Xenopus tropicalis: one gene and its partners. The protein of the gene in region 1 interacts with the protein of each later gene in a biochemical or structural test. Links are inferred from orthologs where the notes say so. Each region holds a gene or a part of one and is shown on either strand. Other genes may lie near its edges. The genes, in order: fgfr1, anos1, ncam1, fgf4, fgf6 and fgf8.

The links.
Region 2: the proteins of fgfr1 (region 1) and anos1 form a complex in vitro, tested with the Homo sapiens proteins (3 studies listed by BioGRID and IntAct, with this or other methods). The link is inferred for Xenopus tropicalis from reciprocal best matches to the Homo sapiens genes FGFR1 and ANOS1.
Region 3: the proteins of fgfr1 (region 1) and ncam1 form a complex in vitro, tested with the Homo sapiens proteins (2 studies listed by BioGRID and IntAct). The link is inferred for Xenopus tropicalis from reciprocal best matches to the Homo sapiens genes FGFR1 and NCAM1.
Region 4: the proteins of fgfr1 (region 1) and fgf4 form a complex in vitro, tested with the Homo sapiens proteins (2 studies listed by BioGRID and IntAct, with this or other methods). The link is inferred for Xenopus tropicalis from reciprocal best matches to the Homo sapiens genes FGFR1 and FGF4.
Region 5: the proteins of fgfr1 (region 1) and fgf6 interact in a biophysical measurement, tested with the Homo sapiens proteins (2 studies listed by BioGRID and IntAct, with this or other methods). The link is inferred for Xenopus tropicalis from reciprocal best matches to the Homo sapiens genes FGFR1 and FGF6.
Region 6: the proteins of fgfr1 (region 1) and fgf8 interact in a biophysical measurement, tested with the Homo sapiens proteins (2 studies listed by BioGRID and IntAct, with this or other methods). The link is inferred for Xenopus tropicalis from reciprocal best matches to the Homo sapiens genes FGFR1 and FGF8.

Annotation. Positions count from the first base shown.
Region 1 is NC_030679.2:130,941,367-130,945,499, reverse strand, and holds the start of fgfr1 (fibroblast growth factor receptor 1 precursor), read right to left. Parts: upstream 2,801-4,133; 5' UTR 2,459-2,800; intron 1-2,458. UniProt on the Homo sapiens protein: Tyrosine-protein kinase that acts as a cell-surface receptor for fibroblast growth factors and plays an essential role in the regulation of embryonic development, cell proliferation, differentiation and migration.
Region 2 is NC_030678.2:36,380,915-36,384,414, reverse strand, and holds part of anos1 (anosmin-1 precursor), read right to left. Parts: coding exon 3,350-3,500; intron 1,561-3,349; coding exon 1,416-1,560; intron 1-1,415. UniProt on the Homo sapiens protein: Has a dual branch-promoting and guidance activity, which may play an important role in the patterning of mitral and tufted cell collaterals to the olfactory cortex. Chemoattractant for fetal olfactory epithelial cells.
Region 3 is NC_030683.2:86,597,093-86,600,592, forward strand, and holds part of ncam1 (neural cell adhesion molecule 1), read right to left. Parts: intron 687-3,500; coding exon 566-686; 3' UTR 1-565.
Region 4 is NC_030680.2:12,804,609-12,808,684, reverse strand, and holds the start of fgf4 (fibroblast growth factor 4 precursor), read right to left. Parts: upstream 2,801-4,076; coding exon 2,503-2,800; intron 1-2,502. UniProt on the Homo sapiens protein: Plays an important role in the regulation of embryonic development, cell proliferation, and cell differentiation. Required for normal limb and cardiac valve development during embryogenesis.
Region 5 is NC_030679.2:11,182,397-11,185,896, forward strand, and holds part of fgf6 (fibroblast growth factor 6 precursor), read left to right. Parts: intron 1-459; coding exon 460-563; intron 564-3,500. UniProt on the Homo sapiens protein: Plays an important role in the regulation of cell proliferation, cell differentiation, angiogenesis and myogenesis, and is required for normal muscle regeneration.
Region 6 is NC_030683.2:31,011,694-31,014,974, forward strand, and holds the end of fgf8 (fibroblast growth factor 8 precursor), read right to left. Parts: intron 1,636-3,281; coding exon 1,357-1,635; 3' UTR 501-1,356; downstream 1-500. UniProt on the Homo sapiens protein: Plays an important role in the regulation of embryonic development, cell proliferation, cell differentiation and cell migration. Required for normal brain, eye, ear and limb development during embryogenesis.

The DNA of each region.
Region 1 (4,133 bases):
GGATCTGTATGGGGAACTAAGTGGGATGAGACAATGCACTTAGAAGCCTGGGTCAGATTCCTATGTCCGATCCTGATGACCCCGGCCAAGGCTATTTGTTTTCCTGTGCCGAAGCATCCAAAAATGACAGCACATCCTAAAAAACAGGGCAAATAAAGGCAACCTGCGGCGCTTCAGCTCCACTCCAGTACAGACACTGCTGTTATTTGTAGTTTTTGTACTTGGGAGTCACGATCCTTGATATTAACTGTCAGTATTCAGGGAGTCTAGAAGTACTCACTGTGACACGAACGAGATCAGCAGGGCAATAAGTAGGTTCTATATCTTTTAACATTAATATGATAGGATACCAACATGGAGGTATTACTGCCTCAAAGCAATGGGGTACTGGGTTCACAACCTACCAAGACTATCCACGGTGAGTCAATTCTCTCCCTGTGCTCCAGTTTTTTTCCGGGATCTAAAACCATACTAACATTGAAACTCCCTGTACCCCGCTCTAGAAACCTATCCTCATGTTTCTTCAGCCCTGCAGCAAACACTTGTACTTTTAGTATGTTCCTTACTCTCCCCTACAGCAAGCAAGTGAGGGCGTCTGCACCCTACAGCGAGCAAGTGAGGGCGTCTGCACCCTACAGCGAGCAAGTGAGGGCGTCTGCACCCTACAGCGAGCAAGTGAGGGCGTCTGCACCCTACAGCGAGCAAGTGAGGGCGTCTGCACCCTACAGCGAGCAAGTGAGGGCGCCTGCACCCTACAGCGAGCAAGTGAGGGCGCCTGCACCCTACAGCGAGCAAGTGAGGGCGCCTGCACCCTACAGCGAGCAAGTGAGGGCGCCTGCACCCTACAGCGAGCAAGTGAGGGCGTCTGCACCCTACAAGCAAACAAGTGAGGGCATCTGCACCCTTCAGTGAGCAAGTGAGGGCATCTGCACCCTTCAGTGAGCAAGTGAGGGCATCTGGACAGAACCAAAGCAAAGCCACAAGCTTGGCATCTACTCTGAACTTTCTGCCCCCCTTTCTGGGCTACATTTCCTAAACTCAGTAGGCAAACAAAAAATATTTGCACAGATTATCAGTGCAGGAAGGGCAACCTCCTATCTTAATTTGACTATAATTATCCAAAGCCATATTTGGCCAGCCATACATTAAACAAACAAGAAGCACATTTACAAAGGAAATAAAAAGAAAACCATTCAGTTTAATGGTCCTGGAAACAAATAACCTCATTGTTCCACATTGTCCTGTGTGCCAGGCTGAATATGCCAACCGGAGAAGGCAGGTCAGAGGACTCAGTGGCATCATAGGATGACACATTACACATGACTTAAGGTGGCCATACACACACTGATTTTATCATACGAAATGAAGTACGATAATCTGTGTGTGTGTATTGCGGTCAAGGCAACCGATATCCATAAAAGCGTTGGATATTGGTCGCCTCGTCGATCGGACAGGATAGAAAATTTTGACCGTGCGTCTTTGAACATTGTAACATTAACGCTGAACCGTCAGATAAGAGTAAAGAATTCCTTTGTTTTCACCTGCTTATCTGACAATTCAGCTCTTAATGTCAGTAGACAAACAATCTTTCCTATGGCCAATGGTCGTGGGAAAGATGGTAACTGTAGTGTGTATGGCCACCTTTACAAGTCAGTGGATAAAGAGCAGAAGGGGGTGTCAATGACTTAAACACTCAACACGGATCCTGGAAACAAACTCAACTTGTTTTGGAGAATTCTAAAACCTTAAAACCACTTCTGGGGGAGACTCTAATCCAAAAAGACGTAAACTGTCCACCAACATTTTACCTGCAACTACCCAGATGTTGTTGTACTACAACTCCCAGCATACACTGACAGCTGAAGCCGTTCAATTACACAGAAATTCCTGGTTTATTATATGTTGCACTGACACAGCGAGCAAAAGCACTCGCTCACACAACACCCCTTTAGCGGCACTCATGGAACGGTGCTTGTTAAATGTATACCTCCAAAACAAAGTACAGCGTGGCCACTGGCCATCCCAGATAAATAACGGTGGCCATATTTAAATACCCCTTTGGCCTCAACCCTGATTTGGCAATGGAAAGGGGGTCCTTTAACTATCAAAATATCTATCTTACTGTAATGGGGGGGTCACGTCAATAGGTTTGAAATGGCTATAATTACATTATAAAGAAAAATTTACCCTGGAAATCCAAGTTTTTGGGTCATCAGTTTCATAAAGTGCAATACAAGTATAGATTGCAAGCTCTAAAGAGCAAAGGCCCTTTAAATTGTATTAATGTGTATGATTAATGTATACAACATTATGTTGTACCGCGCTACGGAATATGTTGGCACTTAATAAAATTAATAAGAATACTAATTAGAAACTAATAAGAACATATACCCCCCCCCCGAGCTGCTAAACAGGCAACGGCAATTAGGAAAAGGGCATAAAATTTGCTTTTTTTTACCTGTTCCCAAATGTTTTTCCAATTTCTTCTTATCTCCACTCGTCCAACGTATATTCCTTATATTAGTAGGAAAAATAAAATTAAAAAAATAACTAAAATAATAAAAAAGTTGGGGGGGGGGGGTGATCTTTAAATTAAAAAAAAAATTGTCTTCAGTAACTTTAGTGAATTAAAATTTCTCCCAGGAATCCACTGTTTGTAGAGAAAAGAGCTAAAATAAAAAAAGAAAAACTTTAAAAAATAAAGTCTTTTTAGTTAAAAGCAGCAGTAATTTGAAGCATGTGTCCCTCTGGGAAGGAAAGAGAGAAATGTGCAGCTTTGAAGACACCTTGAGAGAATTCCAGCAAGAGGGAAAAGTTGTGGGATCGCACAATTCCAGCAGTCGCAGCGCAGGATTCACATCCCACATGAAAAGTTGCTTTCCCAGTGCAACTGAGAGCAGGAATGGAGGAACCGGCCAATTTCTATCAAATAGTATCAGAAAAAAGAAAATGTGCAGGAAGGATGAGCAGCGAGCACGGCAAGTCTCCGGGATTCCTTGGGCACGGAGAAGTGAGTCAGTTCTTATTGAGACTTAACAATACACTCCGCTTCCCATCCCCCCATGCAAGAATTTGCAGCCCCTCCCTAGCAGAGCTTCATTTGCACAAGCCCCGCCCACCCGCTCGGATTTCTCCCGGTGCACCCTGGGGCTTGTAGTCTTTTATATCCTAAACTACTGCTGCTACTGTGGCTGAATCTGGGCATCTGCAACCAGAGGAAGTCAATGAGATGTAATGGGCAGCGCTAGGGCTTATGTTAATTCTCTGTTTGCCCCCCCCCCCTTCCCTGTACATGTGAATAGGAGGGCAGTTATTTGTGTTTAGACAGCAGACAGATGCACAGATGGGGGAGGCATGCAACAAAATAGCAGCAGGGCTGGGTTTTTAGTTGTGGATGCTTACAGCTGTAGTGCAACTATAACTCCACTCTAGTAAATGTGTATGCCAGCTGCGGAAGGGCAGAGAAGTGTAGAGGGCCCTTAATGATATATAAATATATATAGATAGAGAGAGAGAGAGAGATCCAAATTACAGAAAGACCCCTTATCCAGGTCTCGAGCATTCTGCTAAAGGGTCCTTATATATTTACTCTACCAAGTAAATGTGTATGCCAGCTGCGGAAGGGCAGAGAAGTGTAGAGGGCCCTTAATGATATATAAATATAGATAGAGAGAGAGATCCAAATTACAGAAAGACCCCTTATCCAGGTCTCGAGCATTCTGATAAAGGGTCCTTATATATTTACTCTACCAAGTAAATGTGTATGCAAGCTGCGGAATTGCAGAGAAGTGTAGAGGGCCTTTAATTATATATATAGATAGATAGAGAGAGAGATCCAAATTACAGAAAGACCCCTTATCCTTGGTCTCGAGCATTCTGCTAAAGGGTCCTTATATATTTACTCTACCAAGTAAATGTGTATGCCAGCTGCGGAATTGCAGAGAAGTGTAGAGGGCCCTTAATTATATATATAGATAGATAGAGAGAGAGATCCAAAATACAGAAAGACCCCTTATCCTTGGTCTCGAGCATTCTGCTAAAGGGTCCTTATATATTTACTCTACCAAGTAAATGTGTATGCCAGCTGCGGAAGGGCAGAGAAGTGTAGAGGGCCCTTAATTATATATATAGAT
Region 2 (3,500 bases), on another chromosome or scaffold:
AATTTCTGCACCAGTGGCCTTTGCTGAACAGTTTAGAACACTTAATATTTGTATATGGAGTTTAACAATCTTTTCTTAAAAGATAAGGAAAAGCCTGAGACACTGAAGGTTGGTGCCAGTTGGCGGTGCCAGGCCTAGCAGTGGGGGAAAGCATGCGGGTACATGGCAGGGGACAGGTACTAGTGTTGAGGGGGCAGTGAGGGATAAGGGCCCAGAGTAGGGGGAAGGCAGGCAGCAGACATATATGCCTGGAACCCCATCGTTGCCATGCCTCTTCTGCCTACCCCTAGTTCTGGCCCTGCCAGTTTGTTGGGCACCCCCCAGTGTCTCTACTTGCTTGCCTCCTAACCCAGGCCAACACTCCTCCTCCTCTTTTATAGCCCTCCAGCTAGGGTGTTATTGTGCAGAGTAGGCTGCTGCCATCTTCCCCCATGTACCACTTATGTTGCCACCTTTCTGCAGTTTAAAAATTCCAGTCACTCTGAGAGGGGCAGGCCCTTGGGCAGAACAATCCCATAAAGGAAGGGGCAATGATGCAAAGGGGGATGGAGGCAACTTGGGGGCTGTATAGCAGACATTTATGGAGCATGGAGTATATGCCTGAGCTGGAAGAAGGTTTTGGGGGCCACTACATTTGTAACACTGACCAGCTAGGCTGGTGAAATACTTGCCAGGTGACAGCCCTATGTTCCTCCTTAAGACACAGCATAACATTCTATACTGTGCCAATAAGATGCAGGGCATGACAGAGAAGTTGAAGGAAGATTGTGGGAGCCCTTACTGCAGAACAGCAACTGCCCCAGTGACTCAGACTTGCCTTGTCCTTTAAGAAAACATTGTTAAGTGCTATATACATATATTACAATTAACAAGTGTTTTAAACCCAGTAGGTAGTGGTTTAGTTGTCTGCAGGGTGGGTAGTAGGTATCTTGCCCCTGTTTTTCAGTCAGCCTGCTCTACCAAAATAAAGCCCAGGCTGCTGCACTTTTGAGAAGGCCTGAGGAGCTGTGCTGGCCTAAGGTAAGAGGTAAGTCATTAGGGCTATATAAGCATATAAGCTCTCTTGTCCGTTTATATGGATAAAACACTTAAACAGATAGAAAATAGATAGAAATGTGATTATTTAACAAGTTTTGGACACCTTAAGAGTAAGCAAATTTGCCTAGGTCTAGTATCCCACAACAACCAATTAGATGTCTAAAAACCAATACATGCTACCTGTTGATTGGTCATTATGGGTTACTAGACCATTAGCAAGTTAGCACCTTTTATACAATTACTTCCATTGGGTCTACTGAGATATGCAGTGCAAAGAAACAAATCAATAAGGCATCAGGTACACTAATGCAAATAAATATTTATCCCTCGTCATTAAAATCAGATATGATCCATGATGCCAGATTATCAGTACTTACAGCTTGTGCTTGGGGGGCTGGTGGAAAAGTAGAGTGAGACCTTGCCACTTTTCAGGCGCACTTGTCCCCAATAGGTGATGGCTTGCAGCTCAACCATGTAGTTGCTATTTGCTTGGAGACCGTCCAAAGCCACAGAGTTCTGAGACTACAATCAGCCACAAAAATAAAGATACAGTGAGAAAAGAATGTTTCAGTTCAAAGAGACGCAGAAATCCAGTGACTGCACTGCTAGGCTTGCTTTAAGGCAAGCACTAATGAACAAAAGCATAAAGTGAGCCTACTCCTCTCCCTGTTTGTATTACTTGGAACTTGTGCGGAAGAATCAGTGGATATCATTTCCTCTTTGATGTTGCCTTTGACTAATGATGGCATCATAATATATTTAATGAGGGGTAACAACTGTCATAAACAAATTCTAGGACAGCGGAACTGAAGGTGGCTGTACTTGCTATGTAAACTGATTTTCTTTAAAAAAAAAAAAAAAAAAAAATCACAAGACGGATGCAGCAGACATCAAAAGAAGTACGGCAGGGATGACACATTTCTTTAGTAATTACTGAAAGTCTGTTTTGTTTTTTTAAGGTAAGCTTTCCCTTTAGTCCCAATTGTCCCGATCTTTACAATGCGTGGATTTAGGGATTTCCATCGCTATTCTTTTGATTTTCTAAAGCCTATTAGTGTATAACAAATGTAGTAGCAAAGAGTTCACCTTCTTGTGGCATTACATCACTATGACTAACTAAAATGTGCACCCACACATATAAGGGAATGTATTAAGCCACTCGTCTGCCTCTAGAAGAAAAAAATTCTATGGTAAGCACGTAATAAAACTTCCCACTAGAGAATTCATTACTCCAGATCCAAGCCGATCTTTAAAAAAGCACATAGCACATAGCTACCATGTACAGAGGGTCAGGAAGTAACCTGACCAACAAAATCCCACACATACACATATACTACCTTCATGGATTGGATTTTTACTACTATTATTATCATTTACACTGTAATTATAAATATTTATTCGTATATTTAATCAATTATGTTGAAGAAGACTGTGCTCTCCAAGGCTTTATTATACAGGTATAGGATCCCTTATCTGGAAACCCGTTATCCAGAAGTTCCAAATTACAGAAAAGCCATCTCCCATAGACTCCATTATAAGCAAATAATTCTAATTTTTAAAAATGATTTCCTTTTTCTGTGTAATAATAAAACAGTACCTTGTACTTGATCCCAACTAAGATATAATTAATCCTTATTGGAGGCAAAACAATCCTATTGGGTTTAAATGATGTTTTAGTAGACTTAGGGTATGGAGATTCAAATTACGTAAAGATCCCTTATCCGGAAAGCCCCAGGTCCAGAGCATTCTGTATAACGGGTCCCATACCTGTACTCTATAGCCAGCATTTAATGGTTACTTAATGTTAAAGGGCACCTATCACCTAAAAATTGTGTGGGCTCTGTTAGTCTGAACCTCTGTCAGAGGAAACTATTTTTAGGTGATAGGTGCCCATTAAGGTCCTTCTTCTATTTTAGGATTTATTATGAAATTGAAATAAATGTGAAGTATATTTGTCACCTTTGTGCTATGGTTCTGTGTTAAAGGGCTATGGGAGGTATATACTGTATGTCTAAATGACAACACTCAATAGAAAGTCACCTATAGTGACACCAGCCATGAATGATATTATAGCTACATTGTATTTATAGTATAAAATCCACCAGAAAGGAGACTGATTCTATAGACTTCATTCTATGGCACCATAATTTAAATATAATCTGGCCCTTGAACGCTTGGTATGGGATTAATCGGCTCACAACTTGTAATAAATTGGACATCACTGTGTTAAAAGATATGAAGTGAGCCTCTACATGGAGCAAAGCAGACTTATTTCATATTATTCATCTCACAAACACCCATTTTCCTTTACCCCTTCTGTTGTCTTTCTCCTTTTCTTTTTAGCTGGGACGACAGATTTCCTGTTAGCTGTCCAACTCCAGAAGACTTTATAATGGTGCACAGGGATATCCGGCTCCTCTGGGAGATCCCATGTGATCCTAACGGACACAGTCCCCTCATTG
Region 3 (3,500 bases), on another chromosome or scaffold:
TGGAGCCTCTGCTCTTAAACAGGTACATTTACAAGTAGAGAAATGTATTGCAGGCTAGTCATATACCCCATCACCCAAACTTTCAGGACAAATACAACAATTAATAACTTTTTTTTCCTCTTCAGTTTATTTACCTACTAAGTGAATGCACTTGAAGATGATGGTTTAAATACAAACTCTTCTTCTGTGTATTTAGCGTATGGTCTAACACAGGTTCAGTGTAATGTTTTTGACCTGGCTTCTTGATGGTAAATATTTGCTAAAGAATGCAGTGGTGCATAGTTGCCGTTCTGATGGCGCTGCATGGGGCTTTATTGATCTAACTTACCCCTTTCTTTTTAAAAAAATGCATTAGCACAATAGATGAACCCTTTCTACAATCTCACAAAAACAAAATGGTTTTCATAAAAAAATAAAATAATAACAACAAAGGCCAAGATTGAGAGGAATGATGAAGTGTGTGTGCCTCATTCTTTAAATGGCTAGCATGAGGCTCTTCAGACATAATTTTTAGTATCCACTGACCATTCCCCAATAACGCCCACCCCCAAACTCTAAGGACAAATCATGCTTTGCTCTCATTCACATTTGTTTGAGTGGCTTCATTGGGGACTGTTTTGACTTCTGCTGGGGTGCTCTTGACATCTGTTTCCTCTGGCTTAGAATTTTCTTCTACTTGGGTCTTCCTATAAGCAAACAAGAGAAAGAGAAGGTAAGAACAAATATGAGAGTAGATCAATAACACATGGGCTTACTGAATGCTACAGTCTTGTGCAATGATGCACCTACACAGTACAAAGGGGCAGCTTATATAAACACAAAAATACCCATCTGCTACCCCACTGAAAGTGGCACTAAGAATACTGCTCTAAGGCCCTCATTCCACAATACTATAGTGTATGTTCTTCATGTAGAAGGGACCAGAAATACACAATGCACTTCTGTACTATATACTATATATATATGGTTCATATGTTAAACAAAAGATGAAAAGATTCCATCTTTTTTTCCAAGACTCAATTTTATAATTCAGCATATCAGTGCCACATTTAATGTGGGAAATAATTCCAAATTGTTTTCTATTGTGTTTGTCAAGTAAAATAACCTTCACTTACACTATAAAATTTATTTTAATCTTATTATCTTTAGCCTTGGAATTCACAATTGCAGCAAGAAGACAGTCGCCATTTTGTGGACACTGTTATTAAGGCAAGCTTTGTATCTTGCCAAAATCTTGTTTCTGTGCCAGTATGGGGGGGGTCTGATACCCATGTCCATGCACTGGTTACAAAATTAGATGGTGAGGAGGGAGGGGGAATATGAGGAGAGCAGCAACATCTAAGAAGTTCTGAATTCAAAGTGAAAGTAACTGTCTGCGCCACCTCTATGCCTTAGGCATAGAGGCGGGTCAGGCAATATATGATTGACAGCTGGGATTTTTAAATGCTTTTATAATGGGTATGGATGTGTTAATAAAAAATATTAGTTTGGTTTCATGTTTAATTTGAAAAGGACTTTTATTATACAGCTTTTTATGCCTGGGTGACAGGTCCACTTTAATGCTTAATAGTCATATGTTCTAGATATTAAACGTCTGTGACACAGAAATGGGCTGCTAATTCTTGTATGAGTCAGTTAAGCTGAGATACAGATCTGATTACCAACATCAACATCTATTAACACTGTTTATAGTGCAGATTACTGCATGTTAAAGGGTACATAAACCTTCCACAGCAGTATTGCTCCTCTAGGCTATATCTCCCTGTATTCTTCAGCTTGTTATCAAGTTACCATATAATTTGAGCTGTACTTCATCAGCAAAAGAGGCACATTAAAACATTTTGCACATTCTCTAGGACCAGTGTCCCATTTGATACAAATGAATCCTCTAATAAATATTCTGTCTAGCTCATTCACATTGGACTGCCCTAGCTGGCTCCATACAATTATTGCAGAAGGATGCTCTATATTTGCCATTTGACGTGTGATTAATGCAATAACTGAAATCAGAGTAATCTAAATATTTTAGATGATGATGCTCACTGGAGAGGAATGGGGCACAAAAGGGTCAGTTTTACATTCTCTTTAAATACACTTTTGGAGCAGTTCCAGTTTATGATCTGAGGATATCAGGCTTGCCAAAATAATATCATATGCCATATACTGACAAGAATTTGCTGTAAATCCTTCTTTTCTGACTTCTTTCTAAATAACATTTCATATTAGAGACTTCCTGAGTGACATGTAAAAGGGAGCCTGGTGAAGTGAAATACAGATCCAGACAAGTTTTTGCTAAGTACGCTTTTAATAACTTTAACATAAGTGAATGATGTGCCTAGTACAGGTATGGGATCTGTTTTCTTGAAACCCATTATCCAGAAAGTTCTGAATTTTGGGAAGGCTATCTCCCATAAACTCCATTTTAGTTAATTCAATTTTTTAGAAATTATTTTCTTTTTCTCTGTAATAATAAAACAGTACCTTGTACTTGATCCCAACTAAGATATAATTAATCCTTATTGGAGGTTAAACAATCCTCCTGGGTATAATTAATATTTTAATTATTTTTTACTATGGCATGCTTTTTTAATATCGTATAGGGATACAAATTACAGAAAGATCCCCTTCCCGGAAAACTCCAGGTGCCAAGCATTCAATGAATAACTGGTTCCATACCTGTCCTCCATTATAAGCCCTGAACTAACAATTCCTAACATCCTCCTAAGAGCCTTAGGCCACCAGGGATGCTTATTGATTTTAGCTCAGTAGCTACAGGGTAATATAAAAGAGTATTTGGAGGAAAAGATTCTCAGAAGTGTAGTCTTAATATTAACATAATGGGATATTTAACCCTGCCAACGATGTAGGTGCTATATCACGCTATGGGGAATTATCTTTAACCAATAACGCCATGTTTGCAAAGTGCTCTTAAACAGAATGTTTTAGCATCAAGAGGAAAGGGGATCTATCACGAAAACAAAATCTAAAATAAGTTTCATTGCATAGAAATAAGAAAGTATCTCAATTTACGTAAATTTAAAGATTATGTGCCATGTCAAAATAATCAAGATATTCATTAGTATCCCCCCCCCCAAGAAATCTCTTATGCTAAAATATAGGCTTGTGTTGGAGTTGTTTTTTTAATGCACAGTTATCTCTAATACATCACTGGTAGGTGCTTCCTTTGCCTAGATAATGTATTACACATGTGTTTCTAAATAACTGACTCAGAACTAGAGCTCCATAAAGAGATACAGATTGCTGAGAGGGGAATATGGCGGAGCAACCTGAAGGTTTCAGAAATGGTACAAAATGTTTAACTGATTATAATGTTTTAAGGTTTCATATTTACATGGGATCAGACGTATATTATGTTACTGTAAACACACAAAGATAAATAAACTAGAACAACATAAGTAGATGAAATATAATATGCACTGTAGTTCATGTTTTTAATACTGCTTCATACATGCTTTATACTGTCAGGAAATTCACTTAAA
Region 4 (4,076 bases), on another chromosome or scaffold:
ATAATTGGCACTGTATTTATCCTGCTTTGGGTTCTGGGGTATTATATATGGAACTGGCACTGTATTTATCCTGCTGTGTGTTCTGGGGTATTAAACATGGAATTGGCACTGTATTTATCCTGCTGTGTGTTCTGGGGTATTATATATGGAATTGGCACTGTATTTATCCTACTGTGGGTTCTGGGGTATTATACATGGAATTAGCACTGTATTTATCCTGCTGTGTGTTCTGGGGTATTATACATGGAATTGGCACTGTATTTATCCTGCTGTGTGTTTTGGGGTATTATACATAGAATTGGCACTGTATTTATCCTACTGTGTGTTCTGGGGTATTATACATAGAATTGGCACTGTATTTATCCTACTGTGGGTTCTGGGGTATTATATATGGAATTGGCACTGTATTTATCCTGCCGTGTGTTCTGGGGTATTATACATGGAATTGGCACTGTATTTATCCTGCTGTGTGTTCTGGGGTATTATACATAGAATTGGCACTGTATTTATCCTGCTGCGGGTTCTGGGGTATTATACATGGAATTGGCACTGTATTTATCCTGCCGTGTGTTCTGGGGTATTATACATGGAATTGGCACTGTATTTATCCTGCTGTGTGTTCTGGGGTATTATACATAGAATTGGCACTGTATTTATCCTGCTGCGGGTTCTGGGGTATTATACATGGAACTGGCACTGTATTTATCCTGCTGTGTGTTCTGGGGTATTAAACATGGAATTGGCACTGTATTTATCCTGCCATGTGTTCTGGGGTATTATACATGGAATTGGCACTGTATTTATCCTGGCGTGTGTTCTGGGGTATTATACATGGAATTGGCACTGTATTTATCCTGCTGTGTGTTCTGGGGTATTATACATGGAATTGGCACTGTATTTATCCTGCTGTGGGTTCTGGGGTATTATACATGGAATTGGCACTGTATTTATCCTGCTGTGTGTTCTGGGGTATTATACATGGAATTGGCACTGTATTTATCCTGCTGTGTGTTCTGGGGTATTATACATGGAATTGGCACTGTATTTATCCTACTGTTTGTTCTGGGGTATTATACATGGAATTGGCACTGTATTTATCCTGCTGTGGGTTCTGGGGTATTATACATGGAATTGGCACTGTATTTATCCTGCTGTGTGATCTGGGGTATTATACATGGAATTGGCACTGTATTTATCCTACTGTGGGTTCTGGGGTATTATACATGGAATTGGCACTGTATTTATCCTGCTGTGTGATCTGGGGTATTATACATGGAATTGGCACTGTATTTATCCTGCTGTGTGTTCTGGGGTATTATACATGGAATTGGCACTGTATTTATCCTGCTGTGTGATCTGGGGTATTATACATGGAATTGGCACTGTATTTATCCTGCTGTGTGTTCTGGGGTATTATACATGGAATTGGCACTGTATTTATCCTGCTGTGGGTTCTGGGGTATTATACATGGAATTGGCACTGTATTTATCCTGCTGTGTGTTCTGGGGTATTATACATGGAATTGGCACTGTATTTATCCTGCTGTGTGTTCTGGGGTATTATACACTGAACTGGCCATGGGATACTATAAAGGAATCTATGTGGAAAATGTGCTTAAAAAGCCTCTCAAAACACAAAAATCACCTTACACCAATGCATATCTATAAAACATTTCAAAACCCCAACAGGATTATTAGCCACCAATGTGGATTTACACAGCTTAGTTACTATCAGGAACAAGTAAAACATAAGAAATTGCATTCCTGTATTTGGGATATTTCTGGAGAACAGGTTTATGGATAATATTTATGTTAAATTATTTCAGAGCTTGGACAAACTCATCCTAAATAGTGAAATTTAGGGTAAAAACCGTATAGGACATTTAATCTCTTTTTCTAGCAGTATAAATCCCAGGGTGTTAATCACTGCTCCTTAATCTGTCATTAGTTCCCGCCGAGTTATCCAAATGAATATCGTAGCCCTGAAATCCCTCTCTTTAAAATAGAAGCATTATTGTACAGACAAGAAAGGACTGCAGCTTCCCTGACACTAATCCAGCAGCGGCGACACATGCCCTTGGCTTGCCAAGCATAACTGGCTCCCCACGACGGGTCGCTTCCCTGTCACAACTTTATTTTCCACATTAAACGCAGCTTGATTTGTTTTTTTTTTACAGATGAATTTCGGGCGTCAGAAGAAGATCACTCACTCGGGCAACAATGGGCAGCAGAGAAAAGGTTAAAAAATATGCCGGTTATTAATGAAAGGACACGCCAAGGCAGCCACGTGTGAAATTACATATACTATTCGGCTAAGATTTCCGAGCTATAGATTGATCATTCCATGAAAATGAATGGCATATTAAAATGAGCGGCTCGTTAGGAAATTGCCGGGGTAAGCTGACCTTCCTGTTGCAGGCAATGTCACTATTTCTCCATTAATATGACCTATGTTTGAGCAAAATAATGTAACAGGGGGAAAGAAAAAAAATCAATACTTACTGTATCGATTTTCATTGTGCATGCCATTTATCCTTCCGTCCGGTAAAACCTGGATATGAAACCCGATGCCCACGTTGCAGTAGAGACGTCGCAGCCTCTTGATGCCCAGCAAATAGTCACTTTCCCGGCTCATATCCCTTTTTTCCCCTGGGATCCTAGCCATGGACCTGGAAAAGAGGGTCTCCCATCGCCGTTCCAGGGTGTCATTCCTCAGGGAAGAAGAGAGCGGCAAGCCCTGCACCACAACGGCAGCCATTCCCAGCAGCAGGATTGGCACCAGGGCCGATGGAACAGTCATCCTGATCAACGTGGGCACACGTGGTTTAAGGAGTCAATTGCTCTAAAAATACCTCCAACTCCAACTCCACTTATACTTAGATCAAAGTAAGCAACTGCTTAGCTCCCAAAGGAGGTGTGGTTTGCTCTCTTAGCTTGCATGGAGACTTCTCTAAAAGGGGCTTGACTCAAGGAAAGTTTATTCGAACTTGATCTCAACTTGTCGTTAACTTGCCGTGGACTTGTCTGAAGTGTTGATCTTCCCCAACAGCTCAGCCATAGCACTTTACCCCTGTCCACGATATTTATATCCATCTGCTTCCTACCTATTACATCACCAGCTCCTGCTCATCTCCAAGCTGTCAGCCCAGACACCACACTGTGTACACCGAAAGAATGAAGAGGAGTGTTTGGGGATCACTATTGCACGACCCTCGCACAAATGCCAGGCTTTTCAGCCGGCTACAGATAGCCCTCCTTGCAGGTTGCCCCCCTCCATGCACACCCTGCACGCTTTGCCCTGCACAGATTCACTTTATAAAAAGAAACACTATCCTCTGAGATATTTATCTAGAGAAATAAACGTTTCTCAAACAGCAAAGTGAAACTAAGAAGGAGAACTGTCCAAAAGTTTTTATCCAAGAAAATATGTGCAGTTGTTTTGAAAACTGTAGTCAGTATTGCATCTTAAATGAATAGAAACTAATTAAATGACTACTTTGTTTTGTAATATATATATATAACTAAAATGCACAATGGGGCTGTTATGAAAGGGTTACATTGGAAGACCTCGGGAAACTCGTTCAGGAAGGAGAAACTTTCCAAAAAGTGTGTTTTAACAACAACAACAACAATATCAGGTTATTGTTAAGCTGCAAACCTCAGACTGAATCCACAAGTAGCCACTTCCACAGAGAGCTGGAACGAGCGTGCCTGCCCTGGGGATAGCTACTGGCCTGTGTATAGGTGTGAAAACCTGGGGGCTGCCCCCAGCCTTAGCAAACACAGCATTCAGATTTCTAGCTGTGCAATCCACAATGCCCGGTGCTGCAGCCCCTGCTTTTTACTGCTTTGATACTTCTTCCTCCACTTTTTATTCCCCCCACCCCAAACTCCTCTCCCAGTTTTATAATATGTCCTACACCTATTTACCTTGTGCCACGCCAGTTACTCTTAAAAGAGATCTAAGGTAATTGTGAAATACCTTCTAAAAACAGGTGGGATATTTTGGTTTTTGGCCAGTAAAATACTCCTCTCTCATATTTATGTATTCATTTCTTGACCAGCATTTTTACAGA
Region 5 (3,500 bases), about 120 Mb from region 1:
ACCCAATAGGGCTGTTCTGCCCCCAATAAGGGGTAATTATATCTTAGTTGGGATCAAGTACAGGTACTGTTTTATTATTACAGAGAAAAGGGAATCATTTAACCATGAAATAAACCCAATAGGGCTGTTCTGCCCCCAATAAGGGGTAATTATATCTTAGTTGGGATCAAGTACAGGTACTGTTTTATTATTACAGAGAAAAAGGAAATCAATCTTAAAACTGTGAATTATTTGATTAAAATGGAGTCTATGGGAGACGGGCTTTCCATAATTCGGAGCTTTCTGGATAATGGGTTTCCGGATAAGGGATCCCATACCTGTAGAATATGCAAACTATGGTCTTGCAGGAAAGTATATTGTCCCTTGTATTTTTCATTGGTTTGTAGTCATTTCTGTATGTATATTTTGATGTAAATATGCCAATAACATAAATAACATTAAGCTTTTTCATTTGCTTAGGTCTGTTAGAAATTTCAACTGTAGATCGAGGGATTATTAGCTTGTTTGGTGTGAAAAGTGACCTGTTTGTGGCTATGAACAGCAAGGGGAGAATGTATGCTTCGGTAAGTAAATAAACCCCTTTACCTGTAAAGGCGAGAACCGTTTTTTGCTGGGGCCGGGCATTTCATTAGATTTATTTATTTGACAGGGTTCAAACAAGAGTTTTAACAACAAAATTAATTATATTGTATTAATGATACATTAATACATTAAATATTGATATTTTCTCAGTAAGCATTTTCTACTTTGATACCCTTTGATAACATTATTCCATAATTCTAGTAGCTCTACAGAAATGTATGCCATTTGTTTTTATCCTTCTCTTTCCACTCCCTCCTACTCCAACAAGGTTTTAGATAAATTTGATATGATCGTCACTGGGCATTAAACACCTAAACAGCACTTGATCTGCCCTCCTGGAGTCTGATTACAGTGTAATATCGGCAAGCCAAAGTAGCATAAATATTGGGTAACGTCAATATGACAAACATACAGTAGCTCTAGCTCATAGGGATGATCCTTTTGCATCTGGAATTATAAGTCTAATACGTTTGAGGGAAGGTTTGCTTACCCTTTACCCCATGTAGAATTGATTTCTATCCCCTGTTAATGTGTTGGCTTATACTGGGATAAAACTCAGAATGTCCATGAACATTTAGGTATGTCATGCAACCAAAAATAAAATAGTTAGACCTGGCAACATGGTTAGAGAGATCCTTATGCCCAAGTCATACACTCAAACAATGGGTAGACAGACATTGCAGCTTAGGGTGCTTTTAATTATTAGCTCACCACGAGTTAAACTGAAAAGATAATATAGTAATAGAATATATTTTATATTTACAAAGTATAGTCTGGTGTTTGATACTGATGTCCCAATACAGTCATCCCACCATAAGCTGCCTTCCCATTGTTACAGGGGCTATCCCTAACCATGCTATCCCTAACTGCTATGTTGGTATTATTATTATTATTAACATTTATTTATAAAGCGCCAACATATTCCGCAGCACTGTACAATAAGGTATGCATAGATCTTTATAGTGAGTGTGTTTTACAGGTAGATTTGGTTTGTCCAGGTAGTCTCTCTTTAGAGAGAAGTGGTCACTTATGGTTCTGTCTGGGCCTTAAGCTGGCCACACATGTGTAGATTTTTAAAAGATCTTATTGTAGGATCAAGCTTTTCTTGAAACGATCATTTAAAAATACAATTTGTCCATCAACGAAAAGACCATTTCAAGACATAGGGGCACATTTACTAACCCACGAACGGGTCGAAATGAGTCCGATTGCGTTTTTTTCGTAATGATCGGTATTTTGCGATTTTTTTCGTATTTTTTGCGATTTTTTCTGCGTCTTTACGAATTTTTCGTTACCAATACGATTTTTGCGTAAAAACGCAAGTTTTTCGTAGCCATTACGAAAGTTGCGTAAAATCTGGCGATTTTTCGTAGCGTTAAAACTTGCGCAAAAAGTTGCGCTTTTTTCGTAGCGTTAAAACTTACGCGAAACCTCGCACCTTTTAAGTTTTAACGCTACGAAAAAGGCGCAACTTTTCGCGTAAGTTTTAACGCTACGGAAAAATCGGGCGATTTTACGCAACTTTCGTAATGGCTACGAAAAACTCGCGTTTTTACGCAAAAATCGTATTGGTAACGAAAAATTCGTAAAGACGCCGAAAAAATCGCAAAACATACGAAAAAGTCGCAAAATGTTCGTTTTCAAGTCGGAACTTTTCCAATTCGGGTCGGATTCGTGGGTTAGTAAATCAGCCCCATATTGTCTAGTTGAAAGTAGGAAAAATGCCTGCTTGGGCCTGCAAACTATTGGACAATGGACAAATATGTTCTGTAAAAGACAAAAAATTATTATTATTACTATTATTATTATTACTACTACTACAGGTATAGGACCCATTATCCAGAATGCATGGGACCAAGGGCATTCCGGATAAGGGATCTTTCCGTAATTTGGATCTCCACACCTTAAGTCTACTAAAAAATCAATAAAACATTAATTAAACCCAATAGGAATGTTTTGCATCCAATAAGGATTATTTCTATCTTAGTTGGGATCAATTACAAGGTACTGTTTTATTTCTACATAGAAAAAGGAAATCAGTTTTAAAATTCTGAATTATTTGATTAAAATGGAGTCTATGGGAGACAGGCATTCCGTAATTCGGAGCTTTCTGGATAAGGGGTCCAATACCTGTACTACTAATACTACTACTACTACTAATAATAATAATAGTAATAATAATAATTTCAGAATGGTTTTGTCGGCTCACACTGAAATTGTCCATTAAGTAAAGAAAGATCAATACATGTATGGCCAGCTTTGAAGTATAAACAGAGTTCATAATCCAATCCCTGAACAGGCCAGTAATCTGTGAATCCACATCCAGATGTATTTAAGAGTGCAATAAATATACATCCCAACATGTTAAGGAATCAACTTGCTTGATCTCTAATGGGCAATCTGTACAGTATCCTGCTGTTCATTTAATATAGGAGAGTAAAAATGTATATCAATATCCCTATTAGATTTAAATCTGAAATGCATTATTTTAGGATTATTATGGTAAAACCCTTTTTTATGTGTAAACTACAAGTGTTCCACCTACGTTGAAGAGAGCTGGGACATGCAATGGAAATGTTTCATATTCCAATAAAAGCAGAGGTAAACCTACATTAAAACTGACTCCTTAGTTCTTTAAAGCATCCCAGACTTTATTATAGATACAAGTAGACTTATATTACCTCCTATAAGTCTATGTATATTATTTTTGTTGGATACTGTTGCATTAGACAAATCAGGGCATCAGGTTTGAATCTGTATTATGTGATTTGTTGATATTTTCTTTTAAGTAGCTTGACAATCAGGTACAACTTAGCCCATATATGTGCATGGAACCCAGTTTGTTTTTCCATTTATTGAGCTATTGGATAACATTGCTGGGGTCTTGGGTTTAATTCCAACCTGGTCAATGCAAAGTC
Region 6 (3,281 bases), on another chromosome or scaffold:
TGGTCAAACTTTGCACCACTAAAGTAACTCATAGGAACCAATCAGATGCTTTCATATTATGACATCTAACTGCAAAGTGACTGCTCCTTGGTTACTATTGGTTGTTACACTATTGGTTGTTAGACTATAGAGAATTTTGTCCATGTTTTTATAGAACAGTATCTCTCTTACTTTGAGATTAATCATCAATATACCCATATAGCTAAACTTATTTGAGTTCAAACTATCTATATATCTATCTATCTATCTAATCTATATCTTCTCTTTCTCTAGCTACCTGTATACACACACACACACACACACATATATATATATATATATATATATATATATATATATATATATATTCCAAAGAAAATGAAGCTTACCAAATTCTACAATGTGCAACCATAATTAGCAGTTATCACTATGGCCCCCTCTTAAGAAGGCCTAGACCTGTTTTAGGGGGATTTTGTACTCCTATCGTCAAGGAAAGGACAAAAAGGAAACAAACACCTTCATAATACTAGTACAAATTTTAATACACATTTAAATAAATATTTCCATCATTAATATTAATATGTACACATATCCTTGAAAAAAAGGACAAAGGTCTTGCCAGACAACTGACATTTGTACAGTGTTTTTTTTAAAAATAATAACAATATTATTACTGTTCATCACTATTTCTTACAACTGTTTCCTACCACTGGGATGCATTTCATTTCATCGTCATGCAGTTGCACGTCTTGAGGTCTTTTTTTTTTTATGTCAAAGATGATTTGTCCTTGTTGGCAGAAAAAAAACAACAACATAATATTCTTGCTCATCACGGAAACCTGTTTCAACCAGGTCATTCTACGTTTCCATTAAGGAAACTGAATCGATGAAAAAGCAGCTCTTAAAAATAATCAAAAGCATTTATAATAAAAACCCCAACTCTTCCGCAAAAGGAGTTTAGAGAATTGAACAAATAAAAAAGAACCCTGCTCGAGGTTCTTCTTCCGTTTTCCAGTACCGGTTCCTTATTTATCTTTTGGTTAAGTGTTTTTGTCTGTAAGTAGCACTTTTGGTCCCAGGTCCGCCTTCACCTACAACATTTGTTTGCTAGTTATTAAAAAAAAACAACTAAAATCTATATGAAGAGCACATTTTTTTGTAAGTCCGTACATTTCATCCGCTTTTCTTTAAAAAAAAAAAAAAAAAAGTTCATAGGAATAAAAAAATAGATCATCTTTTGTAAAAACAAAAAAATATATATATGTATATTTATATATATAAAACAGCCAGTTCATGATTTCTTTTTTATTCTTATTTTATATTAGAATAGAGTAGTCTGTTTGCTGAAGTCTATGGAACGTAGTGAGAAACCGTGTCCTACCGAGAACTTGAGTATCGAGTTCTTTTACTCCTTCTATTAAAAGGGTAATTAATAAACTCAAAACGTTTATGAGGTTCTGTGGTGTGGTGTCCCTTCGGCAACCTCTTCATGAAGTGGACTTCCCTTTGATGTTGCCTTGTCTTGGAGCCTTTCCTAGGGCGGCCTCTTCTCGTGAAAGCCATGTACCAGCCTTCGTACTTGACATTTTGCAGAGCTGTGTAGTTGTTCTCAAGGACAATTTCCGAGAAGACGCAGTCTTTGCCCCTCCCACTAGTCTGCAAGACAAGAAGAAAATAAGGTTACTACTACATTATAAAATGAGCAATACAATTACACATTGATCCTATCCGAAAGCAGTTTAGTATTGGCAGCCATGGCCGTGACATTTGGAGAAAAATCTAGACAGCTACTGTTGGGTATTTATTGGTTCATAAATGTTTGAAACATCATCTGGTAAGGAAGATAAAGCTCTAACTAAACCTGATTAGCTGATGGGTTATTTTAAGGCAGTAGCAGTGCTATGACCAAATGCCAAGCAGGTGAAGTGAAGAAGTAGAGATGCCAACACCAACACGGGCATTCTGAATAACAGAAATATTTATATCTACCACAATAAACTAGCCATAAGCATTTATAGTAGCACTAGGGAGATCGGGTTCCTTGTTGAAGTTAATAAAAGTAGAAATGACCCATATGCTAAATCCGATTTCATTGACTCCTTAGTAAATAAATGCAGCAGAACACTGATTAGGACTCTCACATCAGGACTTTCACATAGCATTTTGCCAGTATTTGTGTCTCCTTTAATGATCACAATTATTATTATGTTTTATTTGTTGAGTTCCGACTCATTGCAAATGAGACGCTGATTCCCTACTTACCTATAGACCTGCACAATAGGCTTACAGAACAAATAGAGCCAAGCTTAACTGCCAAAGTAAGCAGCCTTAAAATTAACAAAGGCATGCTCTATTACACAAGCGGCCAAGTATTAGGTGTTAAGTTGTAGTTTATTTGGCCATAATAGCATTCTCTCATTGCTGCCCCCTAGAGTAATCTGTGAGAATACCAGTAGATTGCAAGCTCTTATTTATTTCTGTGACGTGAGTTCTGTTTCTATTACTTTTGTCCCTGAGTTGTTATCAGTATATAAATGATCTTGCACAGTAACAACTGTTTTTTTTTTAAATAGATTATTTTTAATTATTAAAGAGTCAGTCATTCTATGATGCTGTATTGTCCCTTTTACGGTGCACGTTTTCTTTGGCTTGGGACACTTTTACCACTAAATGCTCCCTTGCTGCATTAGCTATCTGACCGCTTTATAGTCAACACATGAGATGTAAAAGTACAATATGCCTGCCACACCTGCAGCATTAGCTCATGATTGGACCGCAGGGAAAATGATATTGGATGGTAAAAAAAAACCAAGAGATGAAAATGTAATTGAAAAGGAGGGTTCTTTGGCTGTGGAATCTGTAATTGCTGGCGGATGAAAGTGGGTAAAGGCAAAATGAATTCTAAAGCAGGTATGTGCAGGTGTCTGGTGGCCTCACAATATGCCTGGATCCCCTCGCCCTACAAGGAGTGAAATTCTTATTGAAGCAGACAACTTTGGAACTAATAAAGGCTTGAAAGTGAAGTTTAAAAGGGAAGTTTCTGGGTGTTAAATCGTAGGCATGACTAATATGAAGATTTCAGGGCTTAGCGATGGGGCAGCCTGAACTCTGTGTCTTAACATTCCAAATACTTGTACCATGTAATTGAACATAATAGCAAGGCAATTCGCCTATTTGTTAAAAAAAAAGATATATGGAATTCGAAACACCCCCTTTTTCCCTTTCAGCTTTTCTTCTTTTTGATTCTTTTATCTGCTCTTTGTTACTCTTTTTCCTTTCCCACCTCTTGTCTGCCTTTTGAT